4 linked regions of the Arabidopsis thaliana genome follow. The protein of the gene in region 3 interacts with the protein of the main gene of each other region in a pairwise test. Each region holds a gene or a part of one and is shown on either strand. Other genes may lie near its edges.

The links.
Region 1: the proteins of ABCG20 (region 3) and TBL18 interact in a protein complementation assay, tested with the Arabidopsis thaliana proteins (one large-scale study listed by BioGRID).
Region 2: the proteins of ABCG20 (region 3) and AT1G77350 interact in a protein complementation assay, tested with the Arabidopsis thaliana proteins (one large-scale study listed by BioGRID).
Region 4: the proteins of ABCG20 (region 3) and LPAT2 interact in a protein complementation assay, tested with the Arabidopsis thaliana proteins (one large-scale study listed by BioGRID).

What each region holds. Positions count from the first base shown.
Region 1 is NC_003075.7:12,967,636-12,973,144, reverse strand, and holds TBL18 (TRICHOME BIREFRINGENCE-LIKE 18), read right to left. Parts: upstream 3,587-5,509; 5' UTR 3,394-3,586; exon of another isoform or gene 3,157-3,393; 5' UTR 2,959-3,156; coding exon 2,439-2,958; intron 1,932-2,438; coding exon 1,657-1,931; intron 1,548-1,656; coding exon 741-1,547; 3' UTR 501-740; downstream 1-500. Other genes in the region: AT4G25370 (Double Clp-N motif protein), read right to left, coding at 42-77, 181-398. UniProt on the Arabidopsis thaliana protein: May act as a bridging protein that binds pectin and other cell wall polysaccharides. Probably involved in maintaining esterification of pectins. May be involved in the specific O-acetylation of cell wall polymers.
Region 2 is NC_003070.9:29,068,110-29,072,435, forward strand, and holds AT1G77350 (keratinocyte-associated-like protein), read left to right. Parts: upstream 1-2,115; 5' UTR 2,116-2,254; intron 2,255-2,372; 5' UTR 2,373-2,387; coding exon 2,388-2,546; intron 2,547-2,714; coding exon 2,715-2,766; intron 2,767-3,160; coding exon 3,161-3,227; intron 3,228-3,345; coding exon 3,346-3,436; 3' UTR 3,437-3,790; downstream 3,791-4,326. Other genes in the region: AT1G77340 (Pentatricopeptide repeat (PPR) superfamily protein), read right to left, coding at 511-1,719; APPR6 (Tetratricopeptide repeat (TPR)-like superfamily protein), read right to left, coding at 3,874-4,326.
Region 3 is NC_003074.8:19,836,612-19,841,938, forward strand, and holds ABCG20 (ABC-2 type transporter family protein), read right to left. Parts: upstream 3,373-5,327; 5' UTR 2,911-3,372; coding exon 691-2,910; 3' UTR 537-690; downstream 1-536. Other genes in the region: UXS1 (UDP-glucuronic acid decarboxylase 1), read left to right, coding at 5,024-5,327.
Region 4 is NC_003074.8:21,347,098-21,353,695, forward strand, and holds LPAT2 (lysophosphatidyl acyltransferase 2), read left to right. Parts: upstream 1-2,285; 5' UTR 2,286-2,653; coding exon 2,654-2,731; intron 2,732-3,098; coding exon 3,099-3,221; intron 3,222-3,330; coding exon 3,331-3,370; intron 3,371-3,484; coding exon 3,485-3,558; intron 3,559-3,853; coding exon 3,854-3,913; intron 3,914-4,133; coding exon 4,134-4,211; intron 4,212-4,371; coding exon 4,372-4,530; intron 4,531-4,736; coding exon 4,737-4,862; intron 4,863-5,105; coding exon 5,106-5,198; intron 5,199-5,330; coding exon 5,331-5,417; intron 5,418-5,490; coding exon 5,491-5,742; 3' UTR 5,743-6,096; downstream 6,097-6,598. UniProt on the Arabidopsis thaliana protein: Converts lysophosphatidic acid (LPA) into phosphatidic acid by incorporating acyl moiety at the 2 position. Has preference for C-18-CoA substrates compared to C-16-CoA substrates. Required for female but not male gametophyte development.

The sequences.
Region 1 (5,509 bases), on a different chromosome or scaffold from region 3:
TACAATTACAAATTCTATACGTAATTTGGAGTGAGACTCACTTTGGGATCTTATCCGAAGAACCATTCTCCGGTTGCCTGAAAAATTCAACCTTAACACCCTAAGCTTCAATATCCGTGGTGAAAGGAAAAACCCAGAAATGATAAAGATGTAAAAGAGCTGTCAGATAAAAAAACTAACGCAATAGGGACGTTTAAGACCGTGCTGGCCGAGGTCAAGCACCGGAGCTTGGGGACGAAGCAGCGATGCGACGGTTGTGTCGCCAGAAGCTTCTTACCTAACAGAGAAGACGTTAGAGGAATCCGAGAAGAAGACGAGGGAGATCCATTCTGTCTCGAAACAAAGATCCGAGGATTAGAGAGCGTCAAAGGGATAAAGGAGACTGTGTACGACGCCATTTTCACTCTTGAGGAATCAAAAGCTTTTGGTCGGGCTTTGGGTGAGTCAGTGAGATAGGCGATTATTACTCAGCTATTTTGCAAATGCGCCCCCCCCAGTTTATATAATTTATGAAATTTCGACTAGTATGAATAAACTTGAACTCATAACTCCCAAATCTTAAATTTCAATCTCAGGACAAACGAACCAACAAGTATAGTGGAACAAATTCTAATCCTAACTCACCGTGCCTAGCACAAATCTACAAGTGAGTTTATCTTTGAGTTTATCAGTAACCAAGAATCAGATTAATAGTATAAGTCGTGTAATATGCTCTCTCATCCTTTGAGTTTCAAACCAAGTCAAGTTGATGAGCTTTTCCTGTCTCTCCTTATGAGCTCCAAGACCATTTCGTTCCATGTATCGACTGGTCCTGGCATGCACCAGTGCAAGCAGTCCTGAGGTGGAGGCCGTCCGTCTGGTCCCCGTTTAGTGATCTTGTTAGGGTCAGGACTTCTGAATGGACCAGGATGACCATCATGGCGATATCCAAATGCCTCTGTGATATCCATCAGCTTTAGTTTTAGCTTCAAATTCTCCGCGACTTTATCGACGGCTTGGTTATATCCTGTCGCTTGCTTCTCATGCATTATCTCTGTGAATCCGTTTTTCACTAGCTTCCCTGGAAGGATGGGTTCTTCTTTCCCCGTGCATGATCCACCTGTGTTCCAAGCACCACCTTCGTAATGATCAGGTGAGAATGTTCTCACAATGGTCAAACCGCTGTAGTTCGGGTGTGTAGCCATGGACTTAAGGATTGTTTCAACTGATATTCCAAATGCATCCACGTTATTGACTTTCATGGGTTTTGATTTGTCTGGCCACCATAATTGGCCTCCCACGATCTCTTCTTTCAATATGTAGACAGACTGCTTTGCAAACCAGTGCCCTGATGAGAGGACAACCACGTCGAATTTCGGGATAGCTTCCATTATGCGCTCATCAGGAAGATCCAGCTTTAGTTTTGTGACACCTTCAGGAGCATAATCGAATTTTTCGTTGAACTGATGAACAAGCCAAGATGACCAAATACGGGCAATCATTACTGATGATTGCTTAAAATACCATCTCTGCATCTTTCGGCTCCCACGATTGACTGGTGTTTCAACCTGAAAACAGAAACCTACTTTAATATAATACATACGATCTCCTGAAGCTGAATAAAGCAACACAATAGATCCCTTATACCGGTTTTCACCATTAAATTGAATTACTTGCCTGCCAAAGAAGGCACAACATGGACTCCATCTGATTACGAGCTACTGAATCTCCTATAAAGGCCAGTGTCTTGCCTTTCATAAGTTCAAGAAATTTTCTGGCATCAAACCGAGGAAGCTCACACTGAGACGGTTTCCATCTCCAGTTCTCATATCCCTTGTCAGGTCTTCCATTTCCCTGGCAATTCTGCATCTGCGTCAGGACAGGGCAAGAGTTGTTCGTGTAGAGAGGTCCCCCAGGATCATAAAACCAACTACCTTGATACAAATCACACTCTACAAGCAATCAAAGATTTGAGTAAGCGACAAACTCATAACAGAAATATAAAACATCGAACAGCTAGAATCATGAGAAGCAAGGGAAACTGACAAGAACAGATCTATGAAACTGCTCTTCTTATTCCAATTCACCAAAACAGGTAGAACTCTCAACCAAATGCCCACAAAGCCTAGAAACTCTAACCCCTAAAACAAAATGCTGAGACCACCTTACAAGCCCAGCACTCACTATCTGCTCCCTAACCAAGTTTTTACTCTAATCTGCTATATTCAGTCCTCGGCTAGAATAATTACAGTAGGTCTATAGCTAAGAGTTTAGCCGCTGAATTTCTTTAAAACTTCTCAGAAACTTACGCCTTTCCATAGAAATGCAAAACTAAATGTTCTATAACATTCCCACACTAGCTTAGTCTTTGTTTATTGAAATTTAAGCTACCATAACTCAAAATGTTCCAAATACGACAAAAGCTACGGAAATAAGCGTTTAAAAGATAACAACAGTACCTGGTTCTGCTGAAGCAGTTTCAGAGACATCATCTGGAGGAGATGATGCACTTGGAGTGTCTTCAGCCTTGGAAACATTGGTTTCACGTTCACCTGATTGAACATCAGTCTTTTCAGTTATATCCGAAGAAACCAAATCCTCTTTTTCTTGTGTCAAAGGTGTCTCCAACTTCCTATCACTACTGAAATCTGGAGGTGGTATACTTTTGCTAACAACAACAGGTAAGCCAGAGCTAGAATCAGAAGTCAGATTTTTATCAAACGCATTGATGTCACTACTCTTCTGAAGGATATTGACAGTATGGTTGCTCAAAGATAAAGGGACATGAACTTGTTCAGGATTCCCTATCCCATAAAATATGCCACCAACTGAAGAACTATTCGGATACGAAAGACGAAGCAACAATCCGAAAACAAAGAATGATGCCAAACCACCAATAGCAATTGCAACTGTAGACACTTTCCGAGGAAATCCAGCCGCAGCTAATATAGAATTATTCCTAGGAGAACCAAAAGCCATGGTTTCTTCACTAGTAGATACCCAGAACCAATACAAGCAACAAGAACCAGAGCTTATAGGTGATAATTCAATATCAACATTATTCAAAATGTTATCTTCAGGGGCATGCAATACGCAAGTGAACTAAGTGAATCTGTTACTTGATTCAATCTTCCACTGGATCACAGATAAGATTTCACCTTCTTCAGGATCTGGAATCTGGAAGAGCAACACTATGAGCAAACATACTTAAAGGCGAAAGAAGAAAACAAGATGATCGATCTAATAAATCATCAAATAGCACAAATCCAGAATATAAATGTGAATCTAACTCAGATTCAGCTCAAATCATTACGTATTCAGATTTTCAGAAAAAAAACAAACAATTTTTCAGAAGATTATCTTCTTCACTAAGCAGATCCAAACGAAGAAGAAGAAGAAAGAGAATCTACGAACCTAGAGAAAATGATCCTTGTTGTCTTCTTGTAGGTGAAGCGAGCTCAGAAGATTCAGAAGAAATCCACAACAGTGAAGACGCGAAATCAAAAAATTAAACAAAGGTTAGTTATAGTTTTATTAGTTAATTGTTTTCCGGAAATAATCAAACGAATTTAGTGGTAATTTATTCCTTAAATTAATCATTTGTTTCTTCTTCCGGAGCCCATTAATGCCGTCTGTGATCTCATCGGCGCGTATACGACCACGCGATGATGTAAAGTTACGAAACTACCCTTCGGTCAACACCACCATAACATTGCGTATATTTCGAATTTTGTAACATTGCTAATATTTCGAATTGTTTGTTTGTCACTTCGCGTTATATGACACAACGATTGTTGTTTTCACATAAAAAAAAAAACCCTACTAGTCATCATCTAATGTAACACTCCAGCATATGACAAAATCGCCGAAATATTATTTATTATTATATAGGTAAAATAGAATTACAATATGCTCTTCTATAGTATATAGTAATCTAAAAAGTTGCATCATAAAATAAATTATTAGAAAAAGATCGAAAATAGGTGATATATCATATCATCATTACAATAGGTGTGAGTCGTCCGTCGCCTCTGACTGGTCCTTCCTTTCGGGCACGATAGCAGGCATAAGCCACTATCAGTGCGATGATGATTAATACACCGACTGAAATTCCAGAAATTGCGATAAACTTCATTGGATCAGTCCCCATGTTTGTTTTACCACACGCACCCAGAAAAAAGTTTATTTCTACTGTTTTTATTTTTTGTCATGTCTTCTTGTGACACAGTATGTTTACATTTATTTACAATTATTTACATTTCTGTTAATAAAGTCCGTGAAATTTGTAAGTTTTACATTTTATTATTTAAGAAAATTAACAAGGATGAACTGGAAAATTACACTTTAAAGAATATTAATTAGGAAGAAATAGAAATTATACATTTTTATGGTACTTTGTTGATCTTCATACCATCAAACTGGAAATTGTACATTTTAATAGAAAATTAACTATGAAAGAATAGAAAATTTACATACGTGAGCATGTAGTAATTTAAGGCTATCACAAAAATTCGACATTTTATTTCAGAATATTCTAAAATTTTGATATTTAGGTAGCACATTATCAAATATTGTAAAATAAAATAATGGCCAGGCTTATACGATTTGAGATTTGATTCGTATCCATGAATGCCATACTCGATGAGTAGTTACTGTTGTGTGTGTATTATAGTTTTTGCTAGTTAATGTTGTTTTTACTCCTACCGCATAAAATGAAATAATGAATCATCTATATATACATTTTTGCAGCCATTTTGTGAAATAAATCTTAGAGTTGGGACTTATTTACTAGGCTGCCATTGAGTATTAATTATTGATTTTTTTCCAGCAATAAATTGATTAATAAACTAAAAATATTCCAAATATATTCAGCAACTATTTAAAACAAAAAATGTTTGACAAACAAAAATATAATTGCAATCCCTTAAAATGAGCAAAACCCACCTAAATATATTCTTTATCTATCCAATAAATCTTTTTTCTCCAAAATTTGAACTAGATTTTGGCAACTATTTTAAACAAATATTTGTTTGACAAACCAAAATACAATTGCAATCCCGTAAAATATTTCTTTTAATTATATATTTAAATTAGCGGTGTACCGCGGTTTTTTTTTACGGGGCGGATTTGGCGAGACGGGTTTGGTAAGACGTTATTTAATAACAATTGTAAACTATAAAATAAAAATAAATAGATTTAATTTGCAAACTTTTATATATACTAATTTAAAAAATAAGTTGTCCGCGGGTTAAAATCTAGTCATGGTTATTTTAATTAGGTGAAATCAGCCTTGGATAATTTTAAAAACTAAAACCAATTGTTTGTAAGTAAAGAATTAATAAATTAGTGTAATTTCTAAGTTTTCAAATTATTATATAAATAAAATAAATAAATATGTATTTATAAGCACAAAAAAAGGAAATGGTGCGTATTCCTGGTACAATAGTTACTTGTCAGATCCCCATTTAAAACATCTCAAATTGGTTGAAAAAAAGTCACCAAAGAAAAACTAGATTAGCATCAAATGTTT
Region 2 (4,326 bases), on a different chromosome or scaffold from region 3:
TTCATTTTGGCACTAGGACATACAAAATTATATCTTTGTAACAAAAAAAAAAAATACATAGGACATAACATCAAATACCAAATTTAGAATGTATAACCAATCAGAGTGACTAAAGTGGTTGGTAAAATGTAATCAATCTTTCCCTTGAAGACCTTTACTAAGCATCGATCGTGTATGAGAGCTAAATTTGCAGCCACTTTTTTCCATTACTTGGAACAACTCACAAAACCCCTCTACAAAGCCCTGTTTAAGCACACCATCAATGAGGATTTTCCAAGCGATTTCATCATCGCAATATCCACATCGAAGCAGTTTTTCGAAAACCGAGTTGACTCTCTCTTTTTCTCCTTCTTCACACAGCTTGCAAATCAACATTTTGCAAAACTCTAGTTGTGGTGAATGACCATTACATATCATATCTTCCACAACTTTTGCAGCTTCCTCATACTTTTGCAGCTTGTAGTAACATCTAAGAAGACCATTACAAATCTTCTCACTTAACGATATTCCTCATACTGTACGCTGGTTTGGAACCAATCCACTTTCTTCCATCAAACTAAGCAATCTATATGCACTATCTAAATTACCAGAGCTACACTGTCCAGCGATCAATGTATTATAAGTTATCAAGTCTGGAACCAAATTCTGCTCTAGCATCTTACTAAGCAGTCCCATTGCTTTGTGCACATTCTTCTTACAAAAACCTTTGATCAATGCATTGTATGTAATAACATTTGGCATCAACCCATTCTCCAACATATGTTCTAGCAATCCACTTGCTTCATCAAGTGTATCTCCACTACAAAAACTCTGAATAAGCACAGTATACATACAATCATCAGGCTTAATGCCACTCTCTGACATCTGCTTAAACAAATTCATAGCTTCTGACTTCTGTCCTGATCCACACAAAGCATCTATAAGCACTGTGTATGTTCGAACATTAGGACAACAATTGTCATCTTTCATTTTCACCAATAAGCTCAAAGCTTCATCGATCTTCTTTGCTTCAAATAGACCATATATAAGCTGAGTGTAAGAAACCTCATTTCTATGGCAACCGTTCTGAGTCATCTCCTTAAAAACCTTAAAAGCCGCATCGACTTCTTTTCTTCGACAATGTCCGGTAATAAAAGAAGTATATGTGAAATAATCAGGATCACATCCAGCTTGAATAAGCCAAGTCACATACTGCTTTGCTTCTACTACATATCCAAGCTTACAATACCCATTAACCAATGTGTTAAACGTGTATATGTCTGGAGAAACCAAATCCTCCAACATTTCAGTATAAAGTCTCTTCATTTCTTCGACTAATCCAAATCTAGCTAATGAACTCAACAGATTATTGTAGCATTTAGGAGTAAGTTTATATTTAATCTCGAAGCTATCACCTTTACGCATTGTCCTACAGAAATCAACAACAAACAAAGCGTCTCGCACTGAATTGCAGCTCTTTATCATTAAGATCGTGATCTTAGGCACCTCATAAGGTATTTCCTGGCTGCAGAGAAGAGTAACCAAAGACGCGTATGAAGTAACGTTGTGCTTGAAGTTTGGTATCCGAGAGATCCAATCCGAGAAACTGAGAGCTGTCTGAGGATCAAGATTGAGTGAAAACAGAGAAGAGACATGAGAAGGTGTATAGAAGGGGTAAGAGATTTTAGAGATGGATTGTTCTGCCAATTTGGTTCGGAGACAATTGAGAGTAATCGGCATGGAAGATTAGAGGGGTTAGACTCTGCTGTTGAGATAGTACTTGTAACTTTGTAAGCAGAGATGCGGCGGTGGATAATGGCCTTCGACGGAGAAGGTAGCCGGAAGAAGTAGAAGGAGATTTGGAAGTAGTAATCTCATCGTCGGTTGATTCGACGGTAAGTTGTACTTCCAGTTCAAGCAACAGTAGGGTTTAGGGTTTATGAATCAGTGAATGCAAGCAAAACCTCAAACCCGGTACAATGCTACGTTTGGTATTCTGCATTGGTTTATTAATTAAACCCAAACTCAAGTGGCATGTACAATACTACGTCAGTTGTTTGTATAAAACGACAGCGTTTGAAACCGCGACTGGTCCGTCAGGGTATATATGTAATATATACGATAAACATGTATTTTATGGTCAATGCGAATTCCCAATTTTCCCATTTCTTAAAATCTCTTCTCGATCTCCTTTGTTTCCGATTTGCCGGTCTTCGAAGTGGAACTGTGGCAGTGACGAGCGTGAGGAGAAGATCTGATCTTTAGGGCTTTCAAGGTAACTCATCACATTCTTCTATCTGTTGATTTCTCGTTTTCCGACCAGTGGATCAATCGATCAGTTTTGTACGAATTCGTGTCTGATTATCTGTTACGGTCTTAATTTGATTGTTTAGTTTGGATTTAGAAGCATGGCAGGAGCTGTTGGAACATCAATGTTAGGGTCTCTTATTGTGTTTACAGTGATCCTCTCGCTTCAGGAAATTTACAGAGGAAAATTAGCTTCTTCAGAGCTGTTCACGATCCTTGGTGGATTCACAAGCTCTCTCCTCTTTTTGTTTTCTCTCACTGTAAGTTCCTTAGAATTCCTCAACTTGATCTCGTCTTCATGGAAATGCACTACCTTTACAACTCCAATGTTGATCTGTGTCGTTAAATTTGAGATCTTTTGTTTTCTTCTCGAATTCATCTACATTTGTTGTTGACAGTTTGGTTGATGCGGTTTCTTTTACTTTCAGTTCATTGGAAATTTTCAGGAATCTTCTGGCATCAAGAGTGGTTGGGGTGCAGGTATGTCCTTGCTTCTTCATGAAATCAAATTTGTTCATACGATCAAAACCATTGGGTGTCTACTCTACCCCATTTTGTCTTCCACTTCAGAAGTTTGAGGGCTTAAGAGTGGAATTTTTGAATCTTTGATGATGATGCTCTAAGTTTACTTTCTGATAACATATTACGAAAACTCTTACTTTTATGTGTTACAAATACTCTTTTAGTGAATCAGTTGTTGGAACCAAATTTTTTTCATTCTTATGTCTTTTTCTGTATCACCTATATAAGAATCACAGTGATAAATGGCTCGAATTTGTTTGCCCCCTCCTGCTTCTGCTGTGTGAAAGTGGGTATACTCATTACTCAACAAGGGTTTGCAATGTATTGAAGCCAATTTTTGTTTCCATGGCAGTCATTCTTGCAGAAATCATAGCTCTTATCGCTGCTGGCACGGTTCATCGGGTTTGTATCACAACCTGGTAAGTGGAAATTCACTAGTTCTACTTGGTATATCCATTTACCCTGTTTAATTACTTCATTCCTCTCTTGCTAAAAGCGGTGTGGTGATTGTGATGCTGTTTCTTGATCTGCCTGCAGTTTCCTGTTCTCTGCTGGGCTATTGTACGAGGTGAACAAGATCTCTGGATACATGCTATCCAAAACCGAGTCAAAGTCTAAGAGACACTGAACCTGATAATGGAATTGATACGGCTTATTATTCTGGACTTAGATTTGTTTGGCACTTGAAGATGCAAAAACACTTTCAACATCATGAATTGTGATACTTAGAAACCCTAAATTCAAAATCCACATCTTATGCTTGATGTGAGTATTAGGTCTGTTTCCTTTGCAGCTTATAATCATAGAGATAATCATTTTAGTTGTGTCTTATGTTCTTGGAGAAACTGAATTGTGTCTTTTGGCCTCGACATCGTATCATCCGCAACCAGACACATCAAATGGTTTGTATCATCTATATTTTAATATCTCATGTATCGAAACCGCAACAATTGCTGATTCCAATTTAAATTACAACTTTACCAAGGTAAATGGAGCCTGAGCCAAATGCTTAGGATCAGCTGTTGTTAGCGTACTAATCTGTGGTTCACAGGAAATCTAAGAAAGTCAATCACACAACGGCTCATTGACCAAAACGTTCATCTTCTCATTAAGGAACTTGAGCACATCTTCTCTCTCTTCTTTGATAAGCAGCTGTCTTAATCTACCAAACGTTACACCCGATGGTCGAATCCCCATCTCGATCATCTCCTCTAACAAAACACAAGCTTTCTGAGTGGTACGCTCCTCGCACAACCCATTAATAAGAACCGAGAATGTATGCATACTAGGGAACACCCCTTTCTTCCTCATGTATTTCCACACTTTATCCGCTGTCTCCATCTCTTTCTTTTCACAAAACATCTTGATCACCATCGTGTAAGTGTCTGCATCTGGTTCACACACTTTAATCATCTTCCTAAAGACATCAAAAGCTTCGTCTTTCTCCCCTCGTTCTATTAGATGGCGTAGAATGATGTTACATGACTTGGAGTTAGGCGTCACACCTTTACTCTTCAT
Region 3 (5,327 bases):
TTATATAAACAAGAAAAAGACCAGAGAGTTAAAACACTACCTCAGACCTAAACATAGAACCCATGTGAATATCTATGATTTTTCAGCAGAACACAAATCCAAAAACAAAGAAACCAAACTGAATAACACATTCAGAGGCGAAAAGAAGAAAATTTCGTGAGGGGAGAATATAAATCTCTAATCAGATTAGACAGAAGGAAACCTATAAAGGAAATCTACGGCGAGGAAACGAGAAACCAATTGAAATCCCTAATCTAGAGAGCGAAGAACAATAAAATCGTAACCCTAAACAGATCCAATTACAAAGATTCTTCCTCGTACCTGGAGAGACGAAGAAGGAGAGTGCAAATACGCAGTAACCCTAATAATTTCGAAACGAAGGAAGTGAACCGCGGATGATACTGCGATTAGTCTTCAACCCCTATCTTATAACTTGGAAACCGACGAGATTCAACGGTAGCGATTTGTTTCAATCAACGGTTTAGATTTCACGGCGAGATAAACGTCGATATTACCGATATAGAAAATAGAAAATTGCACACTTTCCAATTTAGTACTTTTATTGGGCCTTATATCAACTCTAAAGCCCATTAAAGATTTAGCAAACATATGCAATTTCGTATTAATCATAAGTATTAAGTACATCATAATCATTGGTCAAGTTACTCTAATAATTTTCTGTTTTGTAAATCAGCGACGCTTGTTCTTGCTTCCGATCAAGAGTGTGAAGTAGAAGAGAACCCTAAAGAAGAATCCCCAAGCTACAGTGATCCACAAGCAATTCCATTTGCTTATCTCCGTGATTCCTTGCTGTTTCAGTATATCGATTCCCGTCGTTACGCAAGTCTCCGCCGTCACGTTGATCCCCAAAACGCCGCTCATGCTCTTCAGGAGGCTGATTTTCACGGCGGTTGGAACTTGTCCCAGCGGCGAATTGTCGAACATCTGGATCCCTCTGACGAAGCATTTCGTCGGATCTTCGAATTCGTTCTGTAGAACACCTTCGTAAGGGTATTTCACTAGGGAGAGGTAATGGAACCAGATCCAGTAGAGTGGGATTCGATCTCTAGAGATGAAGAATCCGGAGAAGAGGAGGAAATAAGCGAGGATTGCTACAACCACCGTGAATCCGATCATCACGTGTGAGACTACGCCGGATAAGAACGTCACGAAGGAACTTCCGGCCCAAAACGCGGTGAGGATTGTGAAGAAGAAGAAGAGGAATCCCTCGGAGCCTCCGGCGAGTCCTACGGCCGAGAATGTTGAGGCGGCGAATGCGGCGGATAAGATTATGAGAGCAGGGATGGAGATTATTGTGTGAGCGAGGACGTATGATGATCGCCGGTAAGCGTTGTAAGCTGTTTCTCTCATGAATATGTAACGTTCCTGTAGAAAGACTGGTATTGCTTCTGCACATGTGTAGAATGTTGTGGACATTGCGAATGCGAAGAACCCTAAGCGTTCTTGTATACCTCTTGGTGAATTGTCTAGTTTCCAGAATATTGTGGCTAGGATCATTCCGGTGACTAGTACAGCTCCTAGGCGGATTCCGAATAGCTCTGGTTGTCTTCTTGAGTTTAGTATAGATCGTTTACCAATTACGAGCATTTCAGTCCAGAATGGGTTTGCAAAGGTTTGAAATGATGATCTTAGGTTTGTTGCTCCGGAGACAAGCTTACCTCTCGAGATACTTGCGCTGATTGCATCTTTGAGAGATACATTGGTGTTTCTTCTGCTCTGGCTTGAGGTTTGCTTTGCTCGCCATTGCTTGTGGAACTCGACTAAGGATTTCGTTCCTTCTGGCGAATCTTCCAGCTCACGGATAAGATCGAGTGCAAACTCCGGCTTGTTCTCGTTTTCAGGAATTGGGTGACCGAATTCTGAGAAGAACTGAGGGAGGTGTGTCGGGGAGCCGCTGTAAACGGTGTTTCCCCTAGATAGGAAGATTAACTTATCGAGTAATCCCAAGATTCTGTAACTCGGCTGATGGATGGACATGATAACTATGCTGCCGCTTTGTGCGATTCTCTGAAGCACTTTGACAACCATGTATGCACTGGTAGAGTCAAGACCAGAAGTTGGCTCATCGAGAAAGAGAATAATCGGGTCATGGATTATATCGGTTCCAATTGAGACCCTTCTCCTTTCTCCTCCAGACACACCTCTGTGTCCCTCATCACCGATCACGGTTTTTGCTGCGTTCCTCAGGCCGAGCTGATCAATCAGAGCTTGAACCCGTGCCTTCTTTTTCTTCTTAGAAAGCGAGCTTGGAAGCCTGAACTCAGCAGAAAACATCAACGTCTCTTCCACGGTGAGCATCGGGAAGAGAAGATCATCTTGCATCACATAAGCTGATATGACTTTATGCAGGCTAGATTCAAGAACTTCCCCATTTAAAGTAATATCACCGCGTAGGCTCTCTTTTGAAATCCGATTGGCTAATGCATCGATAAGCGTTGATTTCCCTGACCCGCTCGCTCCAAGAACAGCCATCATCTCTCCTTCCCGGGCTTCACCAGAAATACCATTCAGGAGCACCTTAGTATTCATCTCCATATCATTACCATCAAAAGGTGAATTCCCACAACAAGGAAAGGGCTTAAACTTCTTCTTGATCTTCACGCTGTAAGTCAAGTCTTTGAAGGAAAGAACAAACGGAGAAGAAGAAGGCACACGAGAAGACGGAACCGAGGACCAGAAATTGGACGCAACCGCAATATCCATAGCCCGACTCTGGTCATCCCCCTCATCTTCCACACTCATGAGAAGTTCTGCAAGTGTGACAGACACCCGCGCAGTGTCTCTGTGACATCTCTGAAGCTCCACTGACTTGTGGATATTGTAAAACAGAGGGAGGCCATCGCCATTGACCCGTTTGGCCGGAGATAATATACCGAACAAACCAGACATCACGTGAATTATTGTCTGGTTAATGTTTTGGCCTCAGGTAATGTGTCTAAAGGTCTTACCCACAGAACAATTTTGATCGACTTTATAGGATATTTGGATGGGAGAATGAGGGAGAAACTTGTCAATTAGTTTGGTGATCTCTAAGTATCTAACTTTGAGTTGTTCTGGGTTTTGTAGCTTTTCATATTTACATGTACATAGCTTTTGTTTATATTTTCGTATGTATATAAATTGTAAGTTACGAGTAGGTGAGGAGTTGGGCAAATCCATCCACATTTTTCCGTTATTGTATGTATTTTTTCTTGGGGCTTAAGGTACTCTGTAAAAAAATCCTATTTTAGGTGGTTTTTGTTTACAAAGTGGAAAAGTTTACTCCATGGAATTACGTGTTTATTTCATCTGTATATAATGTATCCGGAGTTTATGGAATTGCAATAAGTATAGCTTATGTAACATGTCAGGAATAGAATTTCTCCTTGCACATGTATGTATGTCACGAATTTCTTAATCTCCTTTTGTTTATTATAGTCACGACCCGCGAGTTTTCTATAATCACTTACAAGCTCTAAGACTTGTTTTTTGGTGCGTGAGACAATAATTGACTAGGGGTTAATTGGATTTCCAACTATTTTGAATCAGTGAATATCTTCGTACAGTAACTAAAGCACGCTACGAATATACTGTTTGTTGTATCAAAATCAAATCATCCAACATTTTGAACATTTATTTAGCGGTTACTAATTAACTTTTGCAATTAGTTAATATCAAACACATAAGATATTCTCATAATTAGGATTTGGCATGGTACTATACTAAGATTGTACAAAGGCATGCCATTATGCATAATGAAGCTAATGGCGTGTTATCTTTCAATTGTTTGTTTAATCATGCACACCATTTTCGTCATATAAAAAAGCGTAAGTGAAGCCTATTTCATTTCAAAAAAAAAAAAAAAAAATTATAAGGATCATTGATTTGTACTTTTGTAGTTGGTGAAACAAAAAGGAAATGAATGTGAAAATTATGGCAGAAAAACGTGCAGATGTTCGGCTTTGATGTTGTAGAGCTACACACGAAAACACAACAAAAATTGTCATTAGGAATATGTAATGGAAACTTTATATAACGTGATGAGTTAGATTTAGGCATATGGAAGTTTGGTGTAGCTGTTATATCTGTTTTCTTGATTATTTTACTTTTGATAACCCATTTTTACAAGAGTTGTCAAGAAATAATAGAAAACTATATACTTAGTATCATCAGCTTGTCTCTATCAAGTTGAACTAATGATTTATCCAATGAAATACATAACATTTCTTATGGAATGTACACTTTCACACAGAGAATGAGTTTATATTATTCTGGTTAAGTTTAGTAAGACTTTCTTTATGTAAAGATTGTTTTGAAATTTTGTGTTTGGTAGAGGATATTTTGCTAAGTTTCCCAACATAATTTTGTTAACACTTTGAGATTTATCAGGTAGGACTAGATCAAGGAATTGAATCCCTCAGGTTTGAGATTTCGTTCAATGCTAATATTTGTTAAATCGTACGAGAAATTTTTACTCTCGTCTGTTGAGTAACAGCATGAGAGAGTTTTCATTCAAAAAAAAAAAAAATAGCATAAGAGCATATCTCTAGGCATAACATTTTGTGGGCTATTAAGGGGCCAAACTTGGGCATCCAATTGTTAAAAGCCCATATTTTGTAAGCCTCGAGGAGTTTTTTTTGTTTGTTTCCACATTTGCCTAAAGTTTTGTATATGTTCATTGAATAATATACAAATCAAACGCAAATCACATTAATGATCCCCTCAAGAATATATATATAAAAAATTGCATATATTATTAAACAATTAGTGAAATTACTTAATTAGATTATCTGATAATCACATATAGATTTTAGAAGCGAAACATATATATTTGCTCTATAACTAAAACAAAATAAAAATAAAAAAGAGAGCGAAGGATTGCATCAAGTAATCGCCGTGTAACTAACTACTTTTGCATTCACCATCGCTCTTACGTTTGAATCTATCCAGATCCAAAGCTCTTCTTCTTCCCGGCAATTCTGAGATCTCATTTTCACCGGCGACGAGCTTTAATCGGAGAACGATGAAGCAGCTTCACAAGCAAATGAGCTCGAAGCGTGATGAAGAAACCATTCCCATGAGCCAATCCAGTCCTTACTCTCCCAAAACTTTAAAGCATCCCAGATCTCTTCCCAGATCGCTTCACTATCTCTTTCGTGAACAACGACTCCTCTTTATCCTCGTCGGGATCTTGATCGGATCCACTTTCTTCATCCTCCAGCCTTCTCTCTCTCGTTTAGGCGCCGCTGAGTCCACCTCGTTAATCACCAGATCTGTTTCCTACGCCGTCACCGATTCCCCGCCTTCCAGGTCGACTTTTAATTCCG
Region 4 (6,598 bases), 1.5 Mb from region 3:
TCTGAATGGTAATGTTTCAGACTGAAGCCAAAATGGCATTGGCATTGTCTCTGCGTCATGTGTGTCTCATCTGCGATCTACAGTTTGATGGATAATTTGCAGAATTCTCAATCAGCATGATGCTATGTTTATGAATCATGTAAGCAGAAACGACTCCTGTTTACGTTATATCAATGTTTCCATGGGTTTTGTTAGTTAAAGATTGCCGCTGGAAGCGTGTGCGTATACTATCACTGAGAAGAAAGATGAAGACAAGCCAAAGATGATCGTAGTAGCTTAAGGAACTCAAGTGGATTCAGACATCACTTTAGAGATCGAAATAGGGTTTGAGAATTGGAAAACAGTGTGAAAATAAGCTAAAGCAGTTGCAATCTCCTCAGTTATATTCATTGCAACGTTCGATGAGATCTTCTAACAGCATCTCCCCCCTCTAGCTCTTGATATCTTATTCCTCAACTAATCGAGAAACACTTAACTTTGAAAAATAAAATGACAAAACTTGAAGACCTCACACACTCTCAGTTGATCAAAACGAAGAACACTAGCTAAGATATAAAGTCAAGCTGTCGTTGTTGAATATCCCACAAAGTCGTCCTTCCAAGAAAAAGCTCACAACAAGACTTGCGGACTAATTTCATAGTTCTTTCTACATCACCTGAAAACTAGTTAGGAAGCTAAGGCTTTCTCTGTTTTTTTTTTGTTTGTCATTGTTCCACTGGTTCTTTGCTACAATTTAGGAGACTAGAACAAAACTAAATTTTTTGTTTGGTTATACAATGCAAAAAAATATCTGCAAAATAAGTGATTTAGTCTCTAACCGAGAAAAAAGTAATTAAAAACAGAGCAATTACTAACTATAATTTCTGGTGTCATTTTGAGACTATAGTTAAAACTTACAAGCAATGTTTTACATAAATCATTTTTAAAATTATAAGTAAAAATGTTGGCGCCTCAGTATTTCAGGTTCGATTCCCATTGTTCTTTTTCAAATTGGATAATTTAGTCCACATTGACAAAAAGAAAGAAAAATCATAATATGTTTAAGGATGCGTCAAGTGTATGCATATATATTGTTGTAAAAAGAAAAAAGGTGTATGCATACGTTTCTAACATATTTTGTCTGGCAGTCAACTATTTGTTATGAATATGTACAATCACATAGAAATGATAGCATGTGGCTATGTTACGTGAATTAAGGCAAATGATCTTACGTAGGGAAAATTGTAACTAAAAACTCAACAACCCTTATTTGTTTTTTTTGTTATCTTTTCCACTTTGCTGCAAAATTTATTGGAGAATCTGAATAAAGCGGTGAGCATAGTACAGCTGAAAATAACTAGATGATGAACTTGTTCTTTAGTTTGTTTTGATTCTTCATTATATTTAAAGAAAATTTGGTTAGATAGATCAACCACTTCAACAATACTTTTGTAACTTCAAATATTTAATAACAAAAAAATTAAAAAATGTTTGAACTTTACTGAAATGAAATTTCGATATTAGAATACTAAAGAATCAAACGTGCACTTAAATATCATTTAGTTTATATTTATACAAACCATGAAAGACTCTCATACTTTACACCGCACATAAACAATCAGAACCATACCAAACCATGTGAATAGAATCACAAAGACGTCATGCTTTAATTTACAAGCAAAAAAACAAAAGGCATCGGCTAGAGAATAGCAAAAAGAGGAAGAATTGAACGGAAAAATTGAAAACATATGGAACAAAGTGGAGCACTTAAACATCCACGGTAATATTAGTATATTAGTCACCTTCAGACTAGGGCCAGACATGAACAAAGGATTCGATGTTAGTGACAAGTAGCATATCAGACTAATAAGGATATATATTAAGCGGTATGGGTAACACATTAATCCTTTCTCCAATTACATTCTCTTTAAGGTTCTAAGATCCGCCACTAGGCCATTTTATTGGTAAAAGTAAAACCATTTTGGTGGTCGTCTATGAGTGTTAAGAATTATGTAACAATTTTTTTGGATTCACCTGAAATAAATCTGTTGATTTGAAATATTTGGACGTTACATTTCCATATATAAGCTTACCATACAAACATTATAATTAATTGGAAAGTCCAGCTAGCACTTTTTACCACATGCAAAGGGAATTAATCCTAACTTAAAAAATTAGGAGTAATCACATCTTGGTAGTGTATACCGATCAATTTCCGACAGACGTTTTTTTTTTCCTTGCCCATTGATTGCATAGTTCAAAACTTCAAAGTTGGCCAATCCAACCAAGTCGAAGAGATAGGAGATGTTTTGAAGTATGAAAACAAATAGAGGGGCTAAAATCAAAATAACAAGAAAAAACGCTTCTGCCGTGTTCGAATGTGTCCTCGTGATCATCTCCGTATATAATCAATCAATCAATAAAAATCCAGAGTTACAAACACTCTTCTCAAAATTTTCCCATTAAATCGCAAAGTTAATTTTGCGATTTTTTTTCTCTTTTTTTCTGGTTGGGTTATTTATTTTCCCCTTTTAAAAAACTTCTGCAACTTGTCTTGAAATCTGGGGTAAAATATTTCTTCATTGGTTTCTGGAAATCTCGGGGAACGATTTGTTGGGTTTTCTTCTTTGTACTCTCTCCTCACATTAGCTTTTGTTGGTGGGATTTTTTGAGGATGGTGATTGCTGCAGCTGTCATCGTGCCTTTGGGCCTTCTCTTCTTCATATCTGGTCTCGCTGTCAATCTCTTTCAGGTTTGGTTTCTGATTCGTTTCTGGTGTTACTCTTTTTAGATTCCGTTGTTGTTCTACATTGTAGATCCTTTCTTCTTTTGTTTTGATTCACTGCTTTTAGGGTTTCCTTCTCCAGAAACTTTGATTCTTTCGTTTTTGTCGGTGATTGTGTCTTAATTCTGAGTGTGCATATGAGAGTATAAGCTCGAAATTGACTCGTGGAGCTCATGCACTGAGCTATAGAGTGTTGTTTGATTCTGCGATTAAGTATCACTTTCTTCAGATTTATCTTGATTTCTATGTTGATTGAATCGAGGAAGGAATCTTTTTTTCTCTCAACTTCGTTTGCTTCAGTTTTGATGTTTACTACTACATATTGTTGTTTCAGGCAGTTTGCTATGTACTCATTCGACCACTGTCTAAGAACACATACAGAAAAATTAACCGGGTGGTTGCAGAAACCTTGTGGTTGGAGCTTGTATGGATAGTTGACTGGTGGGCTGGAGTTAAGGTATCCACAAGCTTTCTCCTTTTTACTAAATGGTTGTTAAGCTTGGATTTTGTTTTATCTTATCTAACTCTATGAGTTCCTCTCAAATTTCTTGTTTCTTTTCCCTTAGATCCAAGTGTTTGCTGATAATGAGACCTTCAATCGAATGGGTAAGTTCATATGCTTATTGGCAATCAAATCAGTTTCTGATGTCTTCAAGATATAAAATTCCTATGTAAGAACGAATCTGTAACTTCATTGACTGTCCTACTATTTTTTTCTAGGCAAAGAACATGCTCTTGTCGTTTGTAATCACCGAAGTGATATTGATTGGCTTGTGGGATGGATTCTGGCTCAGGTACATAATTTCACCTCACAGTTTCATCTATCTTCCTACGTTTTTGTTTGAATGCATAAATGGAGATCAACATAATAGACTTCTTGATGAGAAAGCATGTATACTTGCAATGGGACCATGTATTGCTTCCAAGTATCTACTTAAGAAAGATTATCTTAGGTAGAAGGTGACAGTCCCTAGTGATCATCTGATGAGATATGAGAGAGTATAGCATCATCATATTTTCTCTTAACACGCTCCCTGTTATGCTGTTTACATCTTTTAATCTATTGTTTCATATTTTCTTTCCTTGCAGCGGTCAGGTTGCCTGGGAAGCGCATTAGCTGTAATGAAGAAGTCTTCCAAATTCCTTCCAGTATGTGAATATTTTAGCTTACTGCTGTGTGCTTGCTAGATTTGAGAGAAAATAGTAGTAATCTTTAATTCTATTTCTGAATCTCTTCTATAAGTTAGAAATTTGATACCTGGCTTTGCGTTTGAGAAAAAATCATTGTTTTAGGTTAATACACTTCTCCGCCTTTTTTATCTGTTACATATTCATAGTACTCATAAACAGAATTTTCACACACATACAGGTCATAGGCTGGTCAATGTGGTTCTCGGAGTATCTCTTTCTGGAAAGAAATTGGGCCAAGGATGAAAGCACTCTAAAGGTATGGGTTTATAGTATCCTTGTGCAACTCATTTAGTTTTTGCTCCTGTGTAAAATGCTTATTAGCACGTGCAGCTACCTCGTTCATGAGGGGATTAGCCTAAAAATGCAGAATCTTCATTTCCAGACCATGAGTTATGTGTGTTTGTCTAAATTTACAGTCAGGTCTTCAGCGCTTGAGCGACTTCCCTCGACCTTTCTGGTTAGCCCTTTTTGTGGAGGGAACTCGCTTTACAGAAGCCAAACTTAAAGCCGCACAAGAGTATGCAGCCTCCTCTGAATTGCCTATCCCTCGAAATGTGTTGATTCCTCGCACCAAAGTAAGTTGTAATATTTTTCTTTTGTTCATTCCTGGGGCAACTTGATATCTTCTCTGTGTCCTTTAAAAAGCAAAATGATTGCTATGATGATCCAAAATCTCAATGCATGGGTAGCCTTTATACGTTTCATTTTCATCAGATCGACTTGGTGGTTGTTATTGTGATTTCTGCCCTAATTACTAGACTTGCTTGTATTTTTGTTTCAGGGTTTCGTGTCAGCTGTTAGTAATATGCGTTCATTTGTCCCAGCAATTTATGATATGACAGTGACTATTCCAAAAACCTCTCCACCACCCACGATGCTAAGACTATTCAAAGGACAACCTTCAGTGGTAAGCAAGCAAAAATATGAATAGGTCGTATAGCAGTTGAATCTTGCACTCTTCTCACAACAAATTTCAAAGTATGCACTGGCTTGGATCACATCACCATCCAATTTACTGAAACGAACATAACTCTTTATATCACCTTTACTTTTATAATGTGTAAGAAACCGTAGGACTCATCCCATCCCAAGCCTTTTTCTTTTAAAACCTCCTGCGCCATTAACGCAAACCATTGCTGCTGGTTTCAAGGTGCATGTTCACATCAAGTGTCACTCGATGAAAGACTTACCTGAATCAGATGACGCAATTGCACAGTGGTGCAGAGATCAGTTTGTGGCTAAGGTAAAAATTATGGATGTACTGGTATTTCCACGTTTCAGTTATTGGCAATAATATATTTGGTCAAGATTTGATAGAGAAAAGCTTGGAAAAGCTTTCATTTTGGTATTCTCTCATCTCGTCTCTGTGATACAGGATGCTCTGTTAGACAAACACATAGCTGCAGACACTTTCCCCGGTCAACAAGAACAGAACATTGGCCGTCCCATAAAGTCCCTTGCGGTGAGTCTATAAAATTCATAACATTCTCTTGGTTCCATCTATAAACTCACAAATCTCTTGATCTTTTTCTCAGGTGGTTCTATCATGGGCATGCGTACTAACTCTTGGAGCAATAAAGTTCCTACACTGGGCACAACTCTTTTCTTCATGGAAAGGTATCACGATATCGGCGCTTGGTCTAGGTATCATCACTCTCTGTATGCAGATCCTGATACGCTCGTCTCAGTCAGAGCGTTCGACCCCAGCCAAAGTCGTCCCAGCCAAGCCAAAAGACAATCACCACCCAGAATCATCCTCCCAAACAGAAACGGAGAAGGAGAAGTAAAAACTGGTTCTCACAGATCCAAACATCAAACACAACAAGAAGAAGCGCGTGTCAGTTTTGTTATAAGAAACAGAAAACCAAAAAAAAAAGACATCCAAATGAAAAATCCCTTAATATTATCAACTCCGTTTTGTTCAGCTACTATATTACTACTACTACTACTACGCAGCCTATGTCTCTTAGTCGATTGATGTATAGGGTCATGATCAAATCAACGATTTAATCCCTATAGTCCCTTGGGATTTTTTTTCTCAAGTGCATAGGCCTTGTATAACTTTCTATTTTTAGATTGGAATTTGGGATTGATATTAGACATTTTCCTTTTATTATTAAACTGTTTTGTTCCTTGGTTCTCATTGCTAGTGTAGAATTTATTAGGCACAAAACATGTTATTACAAGACGTTTTAGAAGAAAAAACAGAATTTATTCATGTACATAAATTATCTGACTAGACTAATCCTACTGGGACTTAATTGTGATTAGACAAAAAAAAATTCATTTTGAGAAGAAAAAACAGAAACCCGTTCATGGAATTAACTGAGATTAGACAAATTCAACTACAGTATGACGGTGATTACAGGGAGAATATCGTAAAAGAACAGGTTTTATTTTCTTCCATTTTTGATAGAACACATTTTTTTTTTTTTAATGAGTGTATAATATAATAAACACAATTTTTATTTTAGTTTTCTCAACCCTAAAACTAAAACCCTTTCACGCCGATTCAAAAGAAAAAAAAAACCTTCACAAGTCCGGTTGCTCGCGCCGCTTTTCTCTCTGTTTTCAAACTCCGATTAAAGTCCCGACTTGTATCAATTGATAAACCCTAATTGTCTCCGTTCTTGCTGAAACACT